Rhinolophus ferrumequinum: one gene and its partner. The protein of the gene in region 2 interacts with the protein of the main gene of each other region in a pairwise test. Links are inferred from orthologs where the notes say so. Each region holds a gene or a part of one and is shown on either strand. Other genes may lie near its edges.

Region 1 (8,165 bases), on a different chromosome or scaffold from region 2:
TGGGACCCAGTCCTATCTCCAACCTGCTAACCTCTCATACAGAGATTTCCTTTGAGGACGTCTGGACGACTGAAAAAGAGACCCAGTTTCAGTTCAGCTGATTCCTGGTTGCTGGCATGTAGGTCGCTCCTCTTCCCCAATCCCAGGCCCTCAGGGACAAAGAACGGGGCCCATTACCTCTTGCAGATCATCGTCAGCAGATATGCTTCTCTGGAACGGCTGGAAAGTGGGGACTGGCCCCTTCGCAGGATCCTGGGAAGGTGGTAGAGACCTGCCTCAGTGTGGGGCAGGAGGCTGCCTGACCGCGGGTCAGAGGGCGTTCCTTTTCCCTCACCCTCTCCTCAGCTTCCTCTGTTCTACCGTTTTGTCTTTTTTTCTTTTAATTCCTTTGCACTTCTCTTATCTGACTGTGTGGGATTTTTAAATAAGTGACCCTAATAAACCCTTCAAGTATTTAGTTTACCTAAACACTTCTTGAACCTGACGCCATTTCAGCCTGTTCAGCTCCTTAGAGCACAATCTAAGAGCTCGCACACGCACAACAGAGCCGCAGAATGTGTAAAATGGAGAATTTAGGAGTCACCCATTTTCTTCATTTTTCAGATAAGCAACCTGAAGCTCAGAATGGTAGCGCATTTTGCCCGTGATTGACAGGTATCACTTTTTCCCTAAACCACCTCCATTGCTCTTGGAGGGATGCCTTCCGAAGTCAGGGGTCCCCTGAACTATCTTTCTGCTTGTGCTTACCTTTAACTTCCCCTCTAGGGTTCGAGAGCGTTTGAAGCCCGAGTTCTTGGTCTCGGCCTTGATGGCACTGATGGCTCCTGACTTCACCAGCTGCTTTGCCTGCTCTGTTGCCGTGGCTGTGTCCACCACAGGCTGCTCTGACAGTGCTGCAGTGGTGAGGGAAAGAGGCATGACGTCAGCCAGGCTGCGAGAGGTCAGCCCCGTGCTCCCTACTCGCAGCCTATCCCCGTTTCCCTGTCACTCACAGCGTTTGACACCACCCTGGCTGGCTGTGCTGCTGCTGCTTTGCTTCTTCAGAGCCAGCAATGCCTTTTTCTGGGAATGAGAAGAGAGGAGTTGGTGAGGGCCAGTCTCTGACCAGGTCCTCTCCTAAGGCCCCTGGGTGCGTCACTCCAGGGGACACCTTTCTCAGAGAAAACAGTGCAAATGGTGCCCCTGGAGTAGTTCACTAAAGCAGCCCTGCCTCTTACACACGGGCCCGGTTCACGCACAGCGCCACCGATACTTAAGGTATCCAAACCATGGTATCCCAGAGCATCACATTTTTGAAGTAGAAAACAAGAAAGTCAATGATGGACGAGAGCCCCAGGTTATGAGCTGCAAGTAAATAAACGCCTACATGCTTTCTGGAGTGCATCCATCCATACCCTGTTTGTTTAATAAGAACTTGCCATTCATTACTTTGTATGGGGAGGAGACGCACTTCCTCCCCAAGTTTACAATCTGAGAAACAAAGTGGCTAGACTGAATTATCAAGAATGATTATAAGACGTGCAGACTGCTTGCAGCTGAGAGTAAGATTTTCTGAAGCCAAATGGTTATTAAACTGGACCCTAGGTAGCATCTGCATAATAGAAACTGAAGAAAAAAGGCATTTTAGACAAAGAAAACTGTGGCAAAAATACAGAGATAAGAAGCTTTGGGGATGCATGTCTTGGGACTAGTGAATAGTTCTAGTTTACTAAAAAGGGATGCCACAAGTTAAGGTTTTGTTCTACAGACAATGTGAAACCACTTAAGGGTTTTGAGAAAAAGAGGGACAAAGTCTTATGTTTTCAATGGATTGTTTTAATAGGAGTGAAGAAGTCTGTTAAAAATAAACAAACACTAAAAACTTGTCGAGAGACCATTACAACGGTCTAGATGAGTGTCAGCAAAGACCTAGATCTATGGAATACATAATACAGGAAAAAATAAATAGAAGTTACTTCCAAGGAAGAATTCAGAAGACTTGGCAAACGTTTGGCGAAGCAAACAGCGAATCAGAGATGAGATTTTGATTCTAAACACATGGGAGAACTGAATGTGATCACGCCTTATTTGGAAGAGCAAGAAAAGGAACTAGATTAGTATAAACAGGAAGATAATAGCTTTAATTTTGGATATCTGAAGGTTATCAGTAAGACATCAGATGGAACTGGAAAAACACCAAACGTGGAATCACCAGCTTTTAGGTGGTACTAAAAGCCACAGGAAAGGAAGACAACTCCATGGCAGAGTGAATAGAAAAGAGAGAAGGTACACAGACTTGGGAAAAGCCCACCTCTGAGGCTACACTGAGAGGTGCCAGTGTGCCGGTGTGAGCCAGAAGAACCCTCCATCCCTCACACTCACCCCAGGTGGTCTCAGAGGGTAGAGTCTGTGAAAGGTTGGGCGATGCCCACACACACTCCCTCACCTTTTTCTTCAGTTTGTTGAATTTCTTCTGCAGAGCCTCCTCCTCCTCGCTCAGTCCGGGGGGTATCACCAACATGGTGGCTCCTGGTTCAGGGGCAGGGCCCAAGGCATCTTTCTCCACTGTCACCGCCCGGGGTTCACACGCCGTCCACTCCCCCGACCCCCCCCTTCAGGCCTGCCTACTCCTGTGTGTTGGCTCTCCCTACCCCCTGCTTAAGCCAGGATGCCGTCCGAGCCCCCTCGTCGGGGTCAACCAGCATTCCGTCCTCGCTAGGAATCACAGACACCAGCGCCTTGGGGCCCCCCGTGGCCCGAGGAGAAATACCCCCTCTGTCGCCAAGACGATGGCACAAGACCCCCCCTCTCCCCACTGGAGTTGTTCGTATGGCAACCGGGGGTTCAGAACCGCAGAGGAGGCACTGGAACCCGCGCAGCGCTCTCAGAGCAACGAAAAGGGGAAAAAGAGAGAAAGAGCTCGGAAGAAAGGGGCGAAGGGTGAGAAGGAGAAAGCCTTACCTGAGGGGGCGGCAACCGGGACCCGCGCTCTCGGGCAGCGCCCGCGCGGGCAGCGGATCGCCGGCTCAGAGCGATGACGTATCGAGGGGCGGAGAACGCGGTAACCAAGGCGGCCCGAGGCGCAGTCACTTCCGCCCGACCTTCCACCAATTCAGGGCAGCCCCTCCGTAGCACTCGTGCACACCCCCAGCGGGGTGTGTACCGGAAGTCGCCTCCACTTCCGCCCGTTTCGGGGCGGAGCTTATCACACAGCTCCCCGCTGCGCTTTTGGGCTGCCTGGCCCCTACCGTGGCTCCTAGATGCTGGAGACAGAGCGACTCGGTGAGGGGGAGGGGGTGGAACGAAGAAATAGACAGAGATTGGCCTTGACCTCTGACCTCTGACCTTTCTCCTGTAGTACTACCTCCCCTAGAGCCCCTGGACCTGCCCCTTCGGGCTGTGGAGCTGGGATGCACTGGGCGCTGGGAGCTGCTGAATGTGCCTGGGGCTCCAGAGAGCACCGTGAGTGACTTTTGACCCTAACCTTTGACCCGCATTGAGCTTAAAACCTCTTCCTTACAGTAGGGTCTAGTATGACCAGCTCTTCTCTCCCTGGATACCTGTCCTCGGGGCCTGGACTGGTGCCGGACAGACTCCAGCCTAGTGGGCCTGCTGTGGGTCAGAGCCCATGTGAGGATCAGCCTGCAGCGCTGGGGTACCTTAGCTCTGAGAACTGCTCTTTCAAAGGTTGCAGTCCCTTTCTGTCTCCAAGCACTTGTCGGTGGCTGAGATGCTAGCCTTTGGAGATAAAGGCTCTTCATCTTTAGGTCTGGGATCTCTTTTCCTAAAGCTAGTGATTCTCGAATTTCAGTATGCCTCATGATTAGTGGGGGAGCTTTTTAAAAATACATATTCCTAGGTCCAGCCCCAGATTCTGAAGTACAAAATCTGTATTATTAACCAGCGCCTCAGGTAATTCAGCAGCAGGCCGTTTGTCCTGTAAAAAATGACAACCTTTGGAAAATCTTCCTTCACCTTAATTGTCCTAGTCTGTCTGAGACATCTACCATTTCTGATCTCAACACAAGTCCCATCACTTTCTCTCATCTTGTCCTTGTTCCAGCTTCCCCACGGCCTCCCCCCCTGTGCCCCGGATCTGCAGCAAGAAGCAGAGCAGTTGTTTCTGTCATCTCCAGCCTGGCTGCCTCTGCATGGTGTGGATCACCCAGCCCGGTGAGGGGTCTGGAGGGGACTGGACTAGTGAGATGGGTCTCTAAAAGAAGCTGAGACAGAGGAGAAAGAAGACCTGAAAATTACTTCCTTCTCATCAGAAAATGGCAGAGGAAGATGGATCCTTGGTCTCTCCTGGCTGTACTGGGGGCCCCAGTTCCCTCCGATCTACAAGCCCAGAGACACCCAACCACAGGCCAGATACTGGGCTACAAGGAGGTAAGTGATCAGGGGCCATGAGAAGCAGAGTTGGGAAAAGGCGGGTCAGAGGCAGGCTCAACCTCACTGAGGCTCTGATCTCTTGCCTCAGGTCCTGCTGGAGAATACAGACCTGACGGCCACGACCTCCTTGTCTCTTCGCCGGCCACCAGGGCCCGTTTCCCAGTCCCTATGGGGGAATCCAACACAGTACCCTTTCTGGCCAGGTGACTCTTGTGGAAATGAGATGGTTGGGGAGGGAGCCCTCAGTCTCCAAGGAAGGGTTCCCGTATCACCCCTCATGAATCTTTATTTGTCCAACCTCTCCCCAGGTGGAATGGACGAGCCCACCATAACAGATCTGAGCACTCGGGAAGAAGCTGAGGAGGAGATAGACTTTGAGAAAGGTGAGGTGGTGCCAGGATGGACCCTTGGGCGGCAGGGCTTCAAGTCTGGACCTTGCAGATGAGGGGACCAGGCCTATCACTGGGCTGCTTCATGCCTTTGAGCAAATTAGGAAAAGGCACCCTTTCCATAACAACCTTCTTTGTCATTTATTGGAAAGTGGTTACAACAAATGTTCCCAGTTACAACGTTTGTGCTGTGAATGACATCCTTTAGGTTTATGCAATGTACAATTTGTATAACGGTGTGCAGTGGCCCCATTCTCTCTCTGTCCCGGTCCTCCAGAGCTTCTTACCGTTCCACCTGGCTTCAAGAAAGGCGTGGACTTTGCACCAAAGGTGAGTTTTGAGGTGGGGGCATGGAGAAGTGGTGCCCTTATCTTACAGGACAGAGATGGACCTGACCAGGTCCCCTTTTTTTGCCTTTCTCCTCAGATCACTCAGCTCCAGCTCGTGGTTTGCTCAGCCTCAGCCGTCTGCTGGAACCCCTGGATTTGGGTGGGGGAAATGAGGATGGGAGGGAGGCAGTGGGACAGCCGGGAGGTACCAGAGGGGACACTGCTCCAGCCTCTCCCTGCAGTGCTCCCTTGGCCCGAACAAGCAGCTTGGAGGACCTAGTGTTGAAGGTTGGTGCTTCTGGGTGGTCGAGGCAGGAAAGAAGCAGCCTTGCCGCTGGGAGGGTGGACTGGCTTGGTTGGGTCTAAGGGGAAGATTGGAGCGTCTTTTGGGAGGAGTAGTAATGGAAAGTTTTCTGGCTATAACTTCATCATTCCTACCCCCGACTTTTTCAGGAAGCGACCACAGCTATATTGCCCACCGAGCTCCCCAAAGCCCTACCTCAGGAGCAGTGGGCTATTCCTGTGGATGTCACCTCCCCTGTTGGTGATTTCTATCGCCTCATCCCCCAGCCAGCCTTCCAGGTAGTGTGGCCCCGTCCTCACATGCTCCTCCACCTCCTCCCAGCCTCTCCCACCACAGGCCAGAAGCCTTCCCGCCCAGTCTTGGACCTCAGGCCCAGCCTTGCCTCACTCTGGCCTTCTCCCTACTGCCCTGCGTGCCCCATGAGCCAGAGGCAGGAAGGCCCCTCTCCGCTCTTCATTCTCCATGTATTTCTTTGTCCCACAGTGGGCATTTGAGCCCGATGTGTTCCAGAAACAGGCCATCCTGCACTTGGAACGGCACGACTCAGTCTTTGTGGCAGCTCACACGTCTGCGGGGAAGACAGTTGTGGCTGAATATGCCATTGCCCTCGCCCAGAAACACATGACACGGTACGGGTCCCCTCCCCTACCTTCCCCCTTCACCAGCCATTCCTGTTTCCCCTGCCTCTTTTCTAAATCTCATCTCTTCCCCATATCTTTTCTTCATCTTTTAGATGGGAGGTTTTGGGGAGAAACTAAGACGGGGGCCCAGAGAGAAATGAGAAGGTGCCGGGAGAGAGGTTAGAAGGCTGATCTACGTGCGTTTAGTTTAGGAAGAGGTTGAGAGTCAAAAGTTTTCTGGGATCACGTCATGCAGGAGAGTAAGGGCAGATTGGGTGAAGAAAGGGGGCCGCTGAGCCTGCAGTATGCTGCTGGGAGGGCTCAGGGTGGACAGGCGCTGCTGAGCACATGTCGTGTGGAGAGACGCGCTAACCTCACGCCCTCTTCCCAGCACCATCTACACTTCGCCCATCAAGGCTCTGAGTAACCAGAAGTTCCGAGACTTCCGAAACACATTTGGGGATGTGGGGCTGCTCACCGGGGACATACAGCTGCACCCGGAGGCCTCCTGCCTCATCATGACGACAGAGATCCTTCGGTGAGAGATGGGCATTCAGCACAGGTGGATGTGGGGCCAGGAAGCTGAGGCTGCTCTGGAGAGAGTGGCTGAGTTAAGAGTGGAGACGGGAGCTACTGGGGAGTCAGCCTTCGGTCTCTTCTCCCCAGCTCCATGCTGTACAGCGGCTCGGATGTCATCCGGGACCTGGAGTGGGTCATCTTTGATGAGGTTCACTACATCAACGACGCTGAGGTAAGCGCCGCGGGGCTCATGTGGGCCTGGTCCTTTCCTGTGGGACTGGTTCAGCAGCTCCCTATTCCCCCCTGAGCTGCCCGTGACTCGTTTTCCCTCCCTGTGCCCAGCGCGGGGTCGTGTGGGAGGAGGTGCTCATCATGCTCCCTGACCACGTCTCCATCATCCTTCTGAGTGCCACTGTCCCCAACGCCCTTGAATTTGCTGACTGGATTGGGTGAGGCGTGTGTCCTGGGGTGCTTGGGTGAAGGCCGCTGTAGTAGTGCTTGGTTGGGGTAGGGGGCCAAGACTGCCACAGCCTTGGGGGTGGGAGAAGAGGGTGGGGCTGGGGAACACGGCCCACTTGGGCCCAGACTACTTTGCATGTTTAGAGATACGATGACGGGGACAGCCTTCCAATCCGGCTTCCAGAAAAGGCTGGGTGAGGCCCGAGGGGGAAGGTGGTGGCGTGTGCGCTGCTCCTCCCACATCCCCCGCCCCCGCTGTCTCCCGCCCATCAGACGACTGAAGCGCCGTCAGATCTATGTGATCAGCACTGTCACTCGCCCCGTCCCCCTAGAGCATTATCTCTTCACGGGGAACAGCCCCAAGACGCAGGGTGAGCTCTTCCTGCTGCTGGACTCCCGAGGCACCTTCTACACAAAGGGGTAAGCCGGAGATGGGGAGTCAGGGCTGGCCTGGCTGGGTGTGACTGTGACGCCGCCCTCTGCATCCCCAGTACTATGCAGCTGTGGAGGCCAAGAAGGAGAGGATGAGCAAGCATGCACAGACCTTTGGGGCCAAGCAGCCCACGGCATCAGGGGGGGCCTGCACAGGTGCGAACCAGTAGGCTTTGTACCTGTCACCACCTGTTCCTTCCTGTTCTTTCTTCCCTGGTCCTCCGGGGGTTTGGACTTGAGCTTTGAGCTTGGGAGTTCTTTACCTGGCCCCACTTTGGGCCCCACAGTCTCCGACTCAGCCTCTGCCCCTTTGCGACCCCTCCCCAGGACCGCGGTGTGTACCTGTCCCTGCTGGCCTCCCTCCGCACCCGTGCACAGCTGCCCGTGGTGGTGTTCACCTTCTCCCGGGGCCGCTGTGATGAGCAGGCCTCAGGCCTCACCTCCCTTGATCTCACCACAAGTTCAGAGAAGAGTGAGATTCATCTCTTCCTGCAGCGCTGCCTCGCTCGCCTCCGAGGCTCTGACCGCCAGCTGCCCCAGGCATGGAGGGGGCACTTGGAGACGGGTGGGGACGGGGTGCTCCACGACCCTCCCCCAATCACGACCTCTGTCCCCGCAGGTGTTGCACATGTCGGAGCTCCTGCACCGAGGCCTGGGCGTGCACCACAGCGGCGTCCTGCCCATCCTCAAGGAGATCGTGGAGATGCTGTTCAGCCGCGGCCTGGTCAAGGTACGCACGCTG
Region 2 (8,168 bases):
CCCAACAGGCATCAGACTGGACGCAACAAGTGGAGAGAATGGCAGGGGTAGCAGGAGCAGTGACCGACCCAATAGGCCACTTTGAGAGCCCCTGCCGAGGACACACAGGCCTTGGGTACCCCGACGAAGAGGAGAGCTGGGGACGTGACCCAAGTCTCGGCACCCACGTACTGGGCACCTCTGTGCCAACAACAGCTAACATGTACCAGCCCTGACCATGACCCAGGCCTGCCTTGCACACAAACAAGAGGGCACAGCTCAGGGATACGGCTCACAGGTGGCCCAGCACACAACTATGGCTCAGCAGCTGGACCACAGCCGAGGACCACAGGGTGATGCGTTAACCTGCTGCCATCTTCTCCCCTGGCAGGAATTCAGACCACATGGCAGGAAGGACCTGGGCTCCCAACAGGACCTTGGCTTGGAGTGTGAGGAAGGGACAGGAGCCCACGGGCAGACCACAGCCTAAGGCCAGGCTCCCCAAGACGAGCTGGAAGACAAAGACAGCAGAGCAGAGACACACTGCTCAGGCCAGTATCGAAGCGGGGCTGTGACCAGCCGCCAGACATTCAGGAGAAAACGTGAGGCTAGATTCTACCTCACACCAAACACGCAAAACTCCAAATGAAAGCTGAACATGAAAGACGGCAAAAAACACAAAACACCACTCAGCCAGTATCTGGCCACTTGTCACCATCAGCCCTCCCCTGGATGCGCAGTTATTCTAAAACCAGGTCAGGTCCAGTGACCCCCACCTGACTGGGAAAGGCCAGTCGGCACAGTGGCCTCCAGGCCTCCCAACGACACCCCTACCCCACTTGCCTACTTGCTCTAGGCTCTGGCCATACCAGCCTCGTCACCCTGGACACCCCACCCACCCTGGCCTGCCCCTCCTTACACCCTGATCTGGCTCCCCTTCCTCACTCCCACCCCTGCCCCACCCAGCCGTGCCTTGCTTCCAATACGATCTCCAGTCTCCACAGCCCTTGTCCACACCTCAAGCTCAGTGACTGACACGTAACGTTCACTGCGTAGTGTCTGTCCCCATGAGACCTCAGTACCCCACACAAGCACCCTGAACTCCAGGGTCGCTGAAGGGTCCTGGCACCTATGGCAGGGAGCGGGCACTCAAGAAGTGTTTGTCCAAGCAATTAACGAGTCAAACGTAAAGACAGAAGAAACTTCCCAGAACTGAGAGAAAACATGCTGAGCTTCACTGAAAAGCTGGCCAAGTAGCAGAGCACCGAGGACGTGAAACCCAAAAGAACCACACCCGGGCACAGTGCGGCAAGCCCCTTACCAGCCACGGCACAAGCCTGCTGTTCCAGGAGCAGAGCCACCCACGTCAGGGTGGGGAAGGGGCTGGCCAGGTGGCCCCTCCGTCAGGCCACCTGCTCGCGGCCCGGCCTCACCTCGCCCTGGCGCCTGGCTTTGGGGGACGGGCTGAAGAAGTTGTGCAGCACGGACAGCTCTGTGCTGAAGAGCGCGCCCTCCTTCTCCAGGATGTACTGCTTCAGCAGCGGGGACACCTCGTCACCGAAGAGCGCCTGGTTGTCCTGCCAGATCTGCCGCTTCACCTCCACAGCGCAGGCCCGGTACAGCTCCTTGTCGGCCATGACCAGCTTCAGCTTCTTCTCGGGAACCTACACGACCCACAGGCCACCCATGAGCGGCGCCTATGCCCACGGTCTACCTCAAGATTGGCCAAAGACCACCTCGAACCCAACCCCAGATGAAAGGAGCACCTGTGGCTGGCCGCCAGGCCCTGGGAGGCACAGGCGGCCAAGCTAAACACACACAGCCCTGTCCAGAAGGGCCCACACCCCACCTCGCACGCCAAGCTTCGGTTTCCACGGGGCTCATCAGGGGAAGCCGACAGACAACGTGCCTCCGAGCTGCCCTTGCTTGGGCAGCCAGCTCAGGAAACCTCCCCAGATCCCACCCGACGCCTGGACCAAGCGAGAACCTGGGCACGAGTGCCCTGGGCGCACCAGGCCACCACTCTTACCTTGGGCAAGTGTTTCATGACACACATCACCACTGGCTGTAAGGACGGCATCTTCACCAGAGAAAAACTCTTCTCCAGAAGGTCTTCCAGTTTCTTGTACCTGAAAGACGCGCACGACTGAGGAAGCTGCACAGGACCCAGACAAAAGCAGCTGCCTGCCTGTCCCCAGACAGGAGATGGCTAAACAAACAAGTTGCCACAGGCAGGACACTTGGGGAAGAGGCGCCGTTTTCGGGTAGCGATGTGTGGCCAAGGGCACAGTGAGCACTAAGCCAGTGCCCAGCCTGAGAAAGGGGCTGCACGTATCACCTGCCCACCCACCTTTCCTCGGCCTTCCCCTCGGATGCAATGGCCGACACGCGCTCCAGCAGCTTGTCCCGCAGCTCGTCAAACACGGACTGGTGGAACTCCAGCCGGGGCGTCCCGTGCAGGTCCAGGAAGGGCAAAGCCGACTGCAGGGAAGGCAGCAGCACGCCATTCTCTGTCTGAGGAAGCAGAGGGTCAGCGTGGGGCCAATTTTGCTTACTTGGGGGTGGGGGGGCTAAAACAGAACCCTCAGCCGCAGCCATGTCTGGCCGGGCACTCCGGGTGCCCTGAACACATACGGAGGCAGCTGCAAGGCTGTTCCCAGCAGCGCTGGCTGTAACTGCAAAAACTGGAAGCCACCCAGATGTCCGTCAATGGGGCACGAAGTCAGGACACCCGGCTCCTCCATCCCGCGGAAGAGACGCCCCGTTTGGAGGGAGACAAACGTGCCCACTTTCCACGCGACCCCGCCCCCTGCCTGACTCACGCCCCAACGGCCCGGCCTCCGCACCCCGCCCCACCTGGAACTGCTCGATGGCCTTGAGCGGCTCCGTGCAGTTGGTGAGCGTCTCCTTCAGGTCCTCGCCGTTGGCCACGCCCAGATCCTGCAGCCCCGCGAACATGGCCGAGGCCCCGGCCCGGCTCGGCGCCCCATCCCCGCCGCGCTCCGCCGGCGCCGCCGCGGCCGCCGCAGGCCCGCCGGCAGTCCGCTCGCCCGGGCCGCGAGGGCCGCCTGCGCTCCTCTCCCCGGCTCCCTCCAGTTCGACCAGGGCCTGCAGGCAGCGAGGCTCCGCAGCGATCGCGGCCGCCCACTTCCGCCCCGCACGCCCGGGTCAGCCTGCCAACCCGGAAACACTGCCGCCGCGCAGTGGCTCCTGGGAGCTGCGCCGCGCCAGGCTGAGCGGCTGCGCAGGATAAAAGCGTCCAGATAGAGCGCGAACCACCAGCGCGGCTCCGCCCCCCAGGTCCCGCTCCATCCGCGGGCCACGCCCGGGGCCGGCTCTCCCTCCCTCCCTCCCGCCTGGCGGCTGTCTGGGCCCAGCCAGGTTTGCAGCCCACCCCCGTCTCTGGCCTTATCCTCTGTAGACACAGAAGAACCCACGCCGGGGCCGGTGGGGGCAGAGGGCGGGGTGTGTGGGGCCCCACCGGAAGGAGTACGGGGGAGGGGGCGGGCACAGAAGGGGGGGTGGCCGACTTGAAGAATTTGAGAACTGACATTTTAGCCGAGTATATTTGATTTTTATAATCGTGAAAAGTCCTGTTTCTGACCTCACAGCAGCCTTTTGACGTTGAAAAATGATCAAATTTATGACAGACCTTAAGCTAGAGGGTATCGGGAGTGCCTGTGGGAGGAGCTCTCGCACTGACGTCATCGGAGAGCTCTACGGGAAGAGCTCTAGGGTTACGTAAGAGCCCTGGCGTCCCAGCCCCGCTCCTTAACTTCCTCTTCTCTGTATAAAGTACTTCATCTTTGTCCTGTTCTGTGCGTGCAATGGCTCACCATGTCTGCGTCTGCCCGAATGCAGCCCTTTCTTTTTCCCCAAATAAATTATTTTTGGTGACAGAATACCTAGTCGATTTTGTTTTACAGTTGACAGAATATTTTTGCTTGAAAAAATGGAGCACTGCCGCGCTAGCAGCCCCCTGCACCCGGGCCCCACCAGGTGCACGATCCTCTCCCCCACGTGTGCTCCCAATGGCGGGCACCCAGCAGTGACCTGGGCTTGCAGTGGGAGTGGACAAGGGATGGCTGACCTCACGTCACCATGAGCATCGAACTCCCAGGCTATCCCAACTCGATAGGCCCTCAGGCTGAGACTGTGAATGTGAGGCCTAGCTTTCGTGGTGTCCCTTGTCCTTAGCGGTGCCAGCAGCTCACAGGGCCGATGGGCACTCCCTGCTCTGCACCCTCAGTGGGTTCCCTATTGCTAAGTGTGTAAGCCCTGCAACCCAGGAGCTGCAGCCTCTCCAACTCCTCCAGATCACCTTCCAGCCCACCAGCCCAGTGTCCCCAAGCGTAGCGCAGCAGATGTCACACCCTCTCCCTTTCCATGTGCCTCGGTTTCCAAGGTTTGCTCTACTAGAAATTCCTTTTCTGCTGCCCAGGAAACTCTTGCTCATCCCTGAAAGCCCATTACCCCACAGCCTCCTCCAGGAAGCCCTCTCAGCCCAACTGGAGGGAATGGCTCCATCCTTCCTGCTGGTCCCACTTCTGGCTTTGAGCCCAAGGGGTTGTTAGTGGTGCAGCTATGAGCAGGGCTCCTGGTCCCCCCACCGTGGGCCAAGCCCCTGAGGCCAGGGCTCCCACAGCTCTCTCCGTTGCCCACTGGCTGAGCTGGGCAGCCCAGGGCCCAATGATGACCATTTGTAATCCCGCTACTCTGATTCCCAGGGGAGCTTCGGCTCAACTCCCAGCTGGTTCAGCCCTAGAGGTCATAGGTGAGTGCGCTCAGACTGCCTGGTCCTTGTCCTCTCTGCAGAAGGTTGATGCCACCACTGTGGGAGCAGTTGTTGCAGTGCCTTTTTGAAGGGGCTGAGCTCTAGCAGAGGAAACAGGAAGGGGTCTGGCCCAGAGCTTGGATGGGGGAGGATGGGAGCCACAGGAAGGACCCCTGAAAGAATTGGTGCCATGACAGGAACCACCAGCAGCTGCAGGGAGGCAGTCTTGAGGCCCACTCCTGGGTAGGAGAGCAGGCTGATAGCCCAGTGGCCAGGCCACAGGACAGGGCCATAACCAGGGAAGGCCCAGGGCCAGTTCGCAGGGTCTTTGGGCAGGGGCTGGGGAAAATGGGGTCAGGCCTTGATAAGCTAGTCCTCTGGGCCCTCCCAGGAGGCTGGGCAGGCCGACTTCTCCTCAAGATGGCAGTTCAGGGAATCTGGCCCCCCCTTCACCCCAAAGTCAGTTCCTCTGCTCGGCAAGCAGCCTGACCCTCGGGTAGACTGGTAGCTGGCCCGGTCCCCTGGGTGGCATGGCTAGGTGGCTGTGTCCTGCACTGCCCAGAGGGACCCCTCCCATACTGTCCCAAGCCAGGAAGTCCCAGGCTGCCACTCCACCCATCTTAGAGAAGAGAGCTCCTAAGAGGAAGCAAAGGGAGACCCCTGGTCAGGGAAAGTCAGACATGACAGACCAGCGGCAGGCCACAGCTGCAGGACAGCTCACGGGGTGAGAAATGGCAGACAGGCCCACGATGGCAGACAGAGTTTGGAAGAACCAACATCGCCTCTAATAGCAGGGGGATGGCGGGGAGGGGGGGTGGTGGCTGTGAGCTGGCCTCTCCTCAAGCACAGCTCACAGAAGGGTCAGCCAGGCAGGAGGGTGGCTCAGCGGTGTGCAAAGGGTCAGAAGGCCAGACTGGGGTCTCTGAGTTCCAGAGGGAGACCTGGGAAGGCCCCCAGGGAGGCAGGGCTCCATGTGATAACCGGCGGGGCAGGATGTGTTCAGCAGGCTCTAAAGCGTGCAGAAGGGGCCCGTGTCATGGCGCTTGGGTCTGCGTTCGCCCTGGATGACCACTCCGGGTATTGAGGGGAAGCGCGAGTTATAGCAATCCTCCACGTAGTAGGTGGCTGGGCCGGGGTTACGGGCTGCAGAGGGAGAAAGAGGGAGTCGCACGCATGCCACAGCACCAGCTGCTGCCCAGCTCCCACCTGCCCCGCCCACGCCTCCATTCTCCCAGTCCTCCTTACAGGAGCTGACCCAGGACGCGAACGCGGGCGAGCGGCTCATGGAGAAGGCGGGGGGGCGCGGGGTCTGCAGACAGCTCCCGGGAAGGATGTCGTAGGTGTTGGGGCTAGGGCGCTTCTCGCCGCCCGGGACCTGCGGTGGGACCTGAAGCGGGGGCTGGGCACAGTGACCAGCACCCCAGACCTGCGGCCTCCGGGGTCGCGAGCGCGCCTCCACTGCCTTGGAGGCGGGGCGGCGGCCCCCGAAGCTGAAAGCTGGGAAGGCAGGTCCGCTGAGTGGGTAGTAGTCGGCGGGCGATGGCCACTGTGAGAGAGGACGCAGCTGCAGGCCCCGCTCCGTCCCTCGAGACCCCGCCCACCCCGTCCCTCACAGGCCCCACCCCCGCAGGACCTCCTGGGAGAGGGCCCCACCTTTCGCTCCCTGTTAAAGTCGGTTTTCCGTGTGAAGGGGCTTTCGCTCTGGAACCACACGGTCTGCCACGCCCTGCGGCCACCGCCCTCTGCAGTGAAGGCAGCGTCGTTGGGGACGGAAGGCTGGGGGAGCGGCCCCACTCCTAGGACTTGGGCCGCGGTGGGGGGCGCGCAGGGAGGGGCACGCACCGCGGGCGGGGTGCTTGCGGCTGATGCTGAAGTTGGGGTGCGCGGAGGATTCTCGCACGGAAGCATCCGGCACCTGGTACTTGGTGGGGCCCGGGATGTCCAGGTCGGTCACGACAGGGGGGCGTCGCTCTAGCCCTGGCAGGAAGCAAGCTCTGGGCCTGGGTCCTCCCAGGAGGCCCCTCCCGACCCTGCCCTGCCTCCCCAGACCAGACTGGGGACCCCCACTCACACAGCTCCTTTGGGTTCCGGGCGCAGATGGGCGGGGGTTCCTGGAGGTGGCCCACTTGCTCCCTAAGGCCTGCCGGGAACTCCTGCGTTGCTGGGGGCTGCATCTTGTCCCAGGTGGCCTTTGGCCCTGACAACAGCACAGCAGCCATGGGCCTGCAAGGGAGACGGACAGCCAGCATCCACCCAGCCACTCTGCCTCTGCATCGGAGCTGCCCGCCCCCAGACCCCCCACCCTACTGGCCCACCGCCCTTGGAAGTTACTGGGTGGGCACAGAGGACTTCGGCCTCAGGGGGCCATGGCTCCAGTGTTTGCCTCCATTGATGTAAAAATTTGCCAGGAATTTCACAGCCTTCTGGTCAAAATTCATTGTCAGGGTCTCTGGCTGCCTTCCAGGGAGCTCTGTGACCTCACTGGCCCGTCATGCTCCCACCCCCACCCCACCCCACCCCTGTTGCTGGGATACTGGAGGGAGGAGCGCCGTCCTGCCCTGGAGGAGCCCCTCCCCCAACCTGCCAGGTGGGTCACTCTGGGTCACCTCGGCCAGGAGGACCCCTAGTTGCCTGCCTGACTTCTGGCTTAGCCTCCTTTCCCCCTTCCACATCCTTGCCCCAATCCTGAACCTCCCCTCGACTTTGGGGGTCCATTCCAAGAAGAGCTTCAGGGAAGACTGACACCTGGCAGAGAATGGAAAAGGGAGCGGGTGCTATGGGAGGCCCAGCTGGTAGGAAGCATGGTGCAGTGGACCGTCCAGGGAGGCTCTCTGGAGGGGCAGGAACCCCACTAGAAATTCAGCCCTCGGAAAAGCAAAGCAACGATGGATAGGTCTGAGTGGACCCTGCTGACCTGAGCGGAAGGCCTGGCCCCACAGCCACTTGGTGGCCCAGGCAAGGCTGCGGTGTGGGAGCCAGTCCTCTGTTTGGGGTCACAGAGGCCAGAAGGTGTCACAGATGGATGGGGCTGCCCAGGCCCAAGTGCAAAAGAACTATGAGCCCAAGTGAGCTTGAGTCCCTCTGGGCACCAGGGCTCTCGCCGTGCCCTCTGGAGTTGATCCCAGCCCCAGCCCTGGCCTTGGCCTAATCCACCTAGCAGGGCCTGGTCAAGAATGTGGCCTCAGCCTCTGGGCCCTCCCCACCCTGATCGAGTGTCTTCCTGTCGGAATCCCCCCCATTTAGCAAGGACCCTGCCTGGCCTTGGGAGGTACTCCAGATGGACAAACTGAAGAGCCCTGCTTGAGAAAGCACAGGTTTTATTAGGGTAAGGGGCAGCCTGTGCTCTGGAGCCTTCCATGTTGTAGTGTTCTCTGGGGGCCAAATTGACAGTGGCTATAATTTTCTTAACAGAACT

Evidence for each region.
Region 1: the proteins of NELFB (region 2) and NELFE interact in binary tests that used the Homo sapiens proteins (3 or more experiments, as listed by UniProt). The link is inferred for Rhinolophus ferrumequinum from reciprocal best matches to the Homo sapiens genes NELFB and NELFE.

Annotation. Positions count from the first base shown.
Region 1 is NC_046286.1:2,408,737-2,416,901, forward strand, and holds the start of NELFE (negative elongation factor E), read right to left. Parts: upstream 3,076-8,165; 5' UTR 2,941-3,075; intron 2,509-2,940; 5' UTR 2,501-2,508; coding exon 2,426-2,500; intron 1,063-2,425; coding exon 993-1,062; intron 894-992; coding exon 748-893; intron 253-747; coding exon 178-252; intron 70-177; coding exon 32-69; intron 1-31. UniProt on the Homo sapiens protein: Essential component of the NELF complex, a complex that negatively regulates the elongation of transcription by RNA polymerase II.
Region 2 is NC_046295.1:83,349,303-83,357,470, reverse strand, and holds the start of NELFB (negative elongation factor B), read right to left. Parts: upstream 3,104-8,168; 5' UTR 2,938-3,103; coding exon 2,836-2,937; intron 2,494-2,835; coding exon 2,330-2,493; intron 2,109-2,329; coding exon 2,009-2,108; intron 1,644-2,008; coding exon 1,413-1,643; intron 1-1,412. Other genes in the region: protein STPG3, read right to left, coding at 5,763-5,896, 5,999-6,299, 6,407-6,495, 6,596-6,730, 6,825-6,976, 7,085-7,191. UniProt on the Homo sapiens protein: Essential component of the NELF complex, a complex that negatively regulates the elongation of transcription by RNA polymerase II.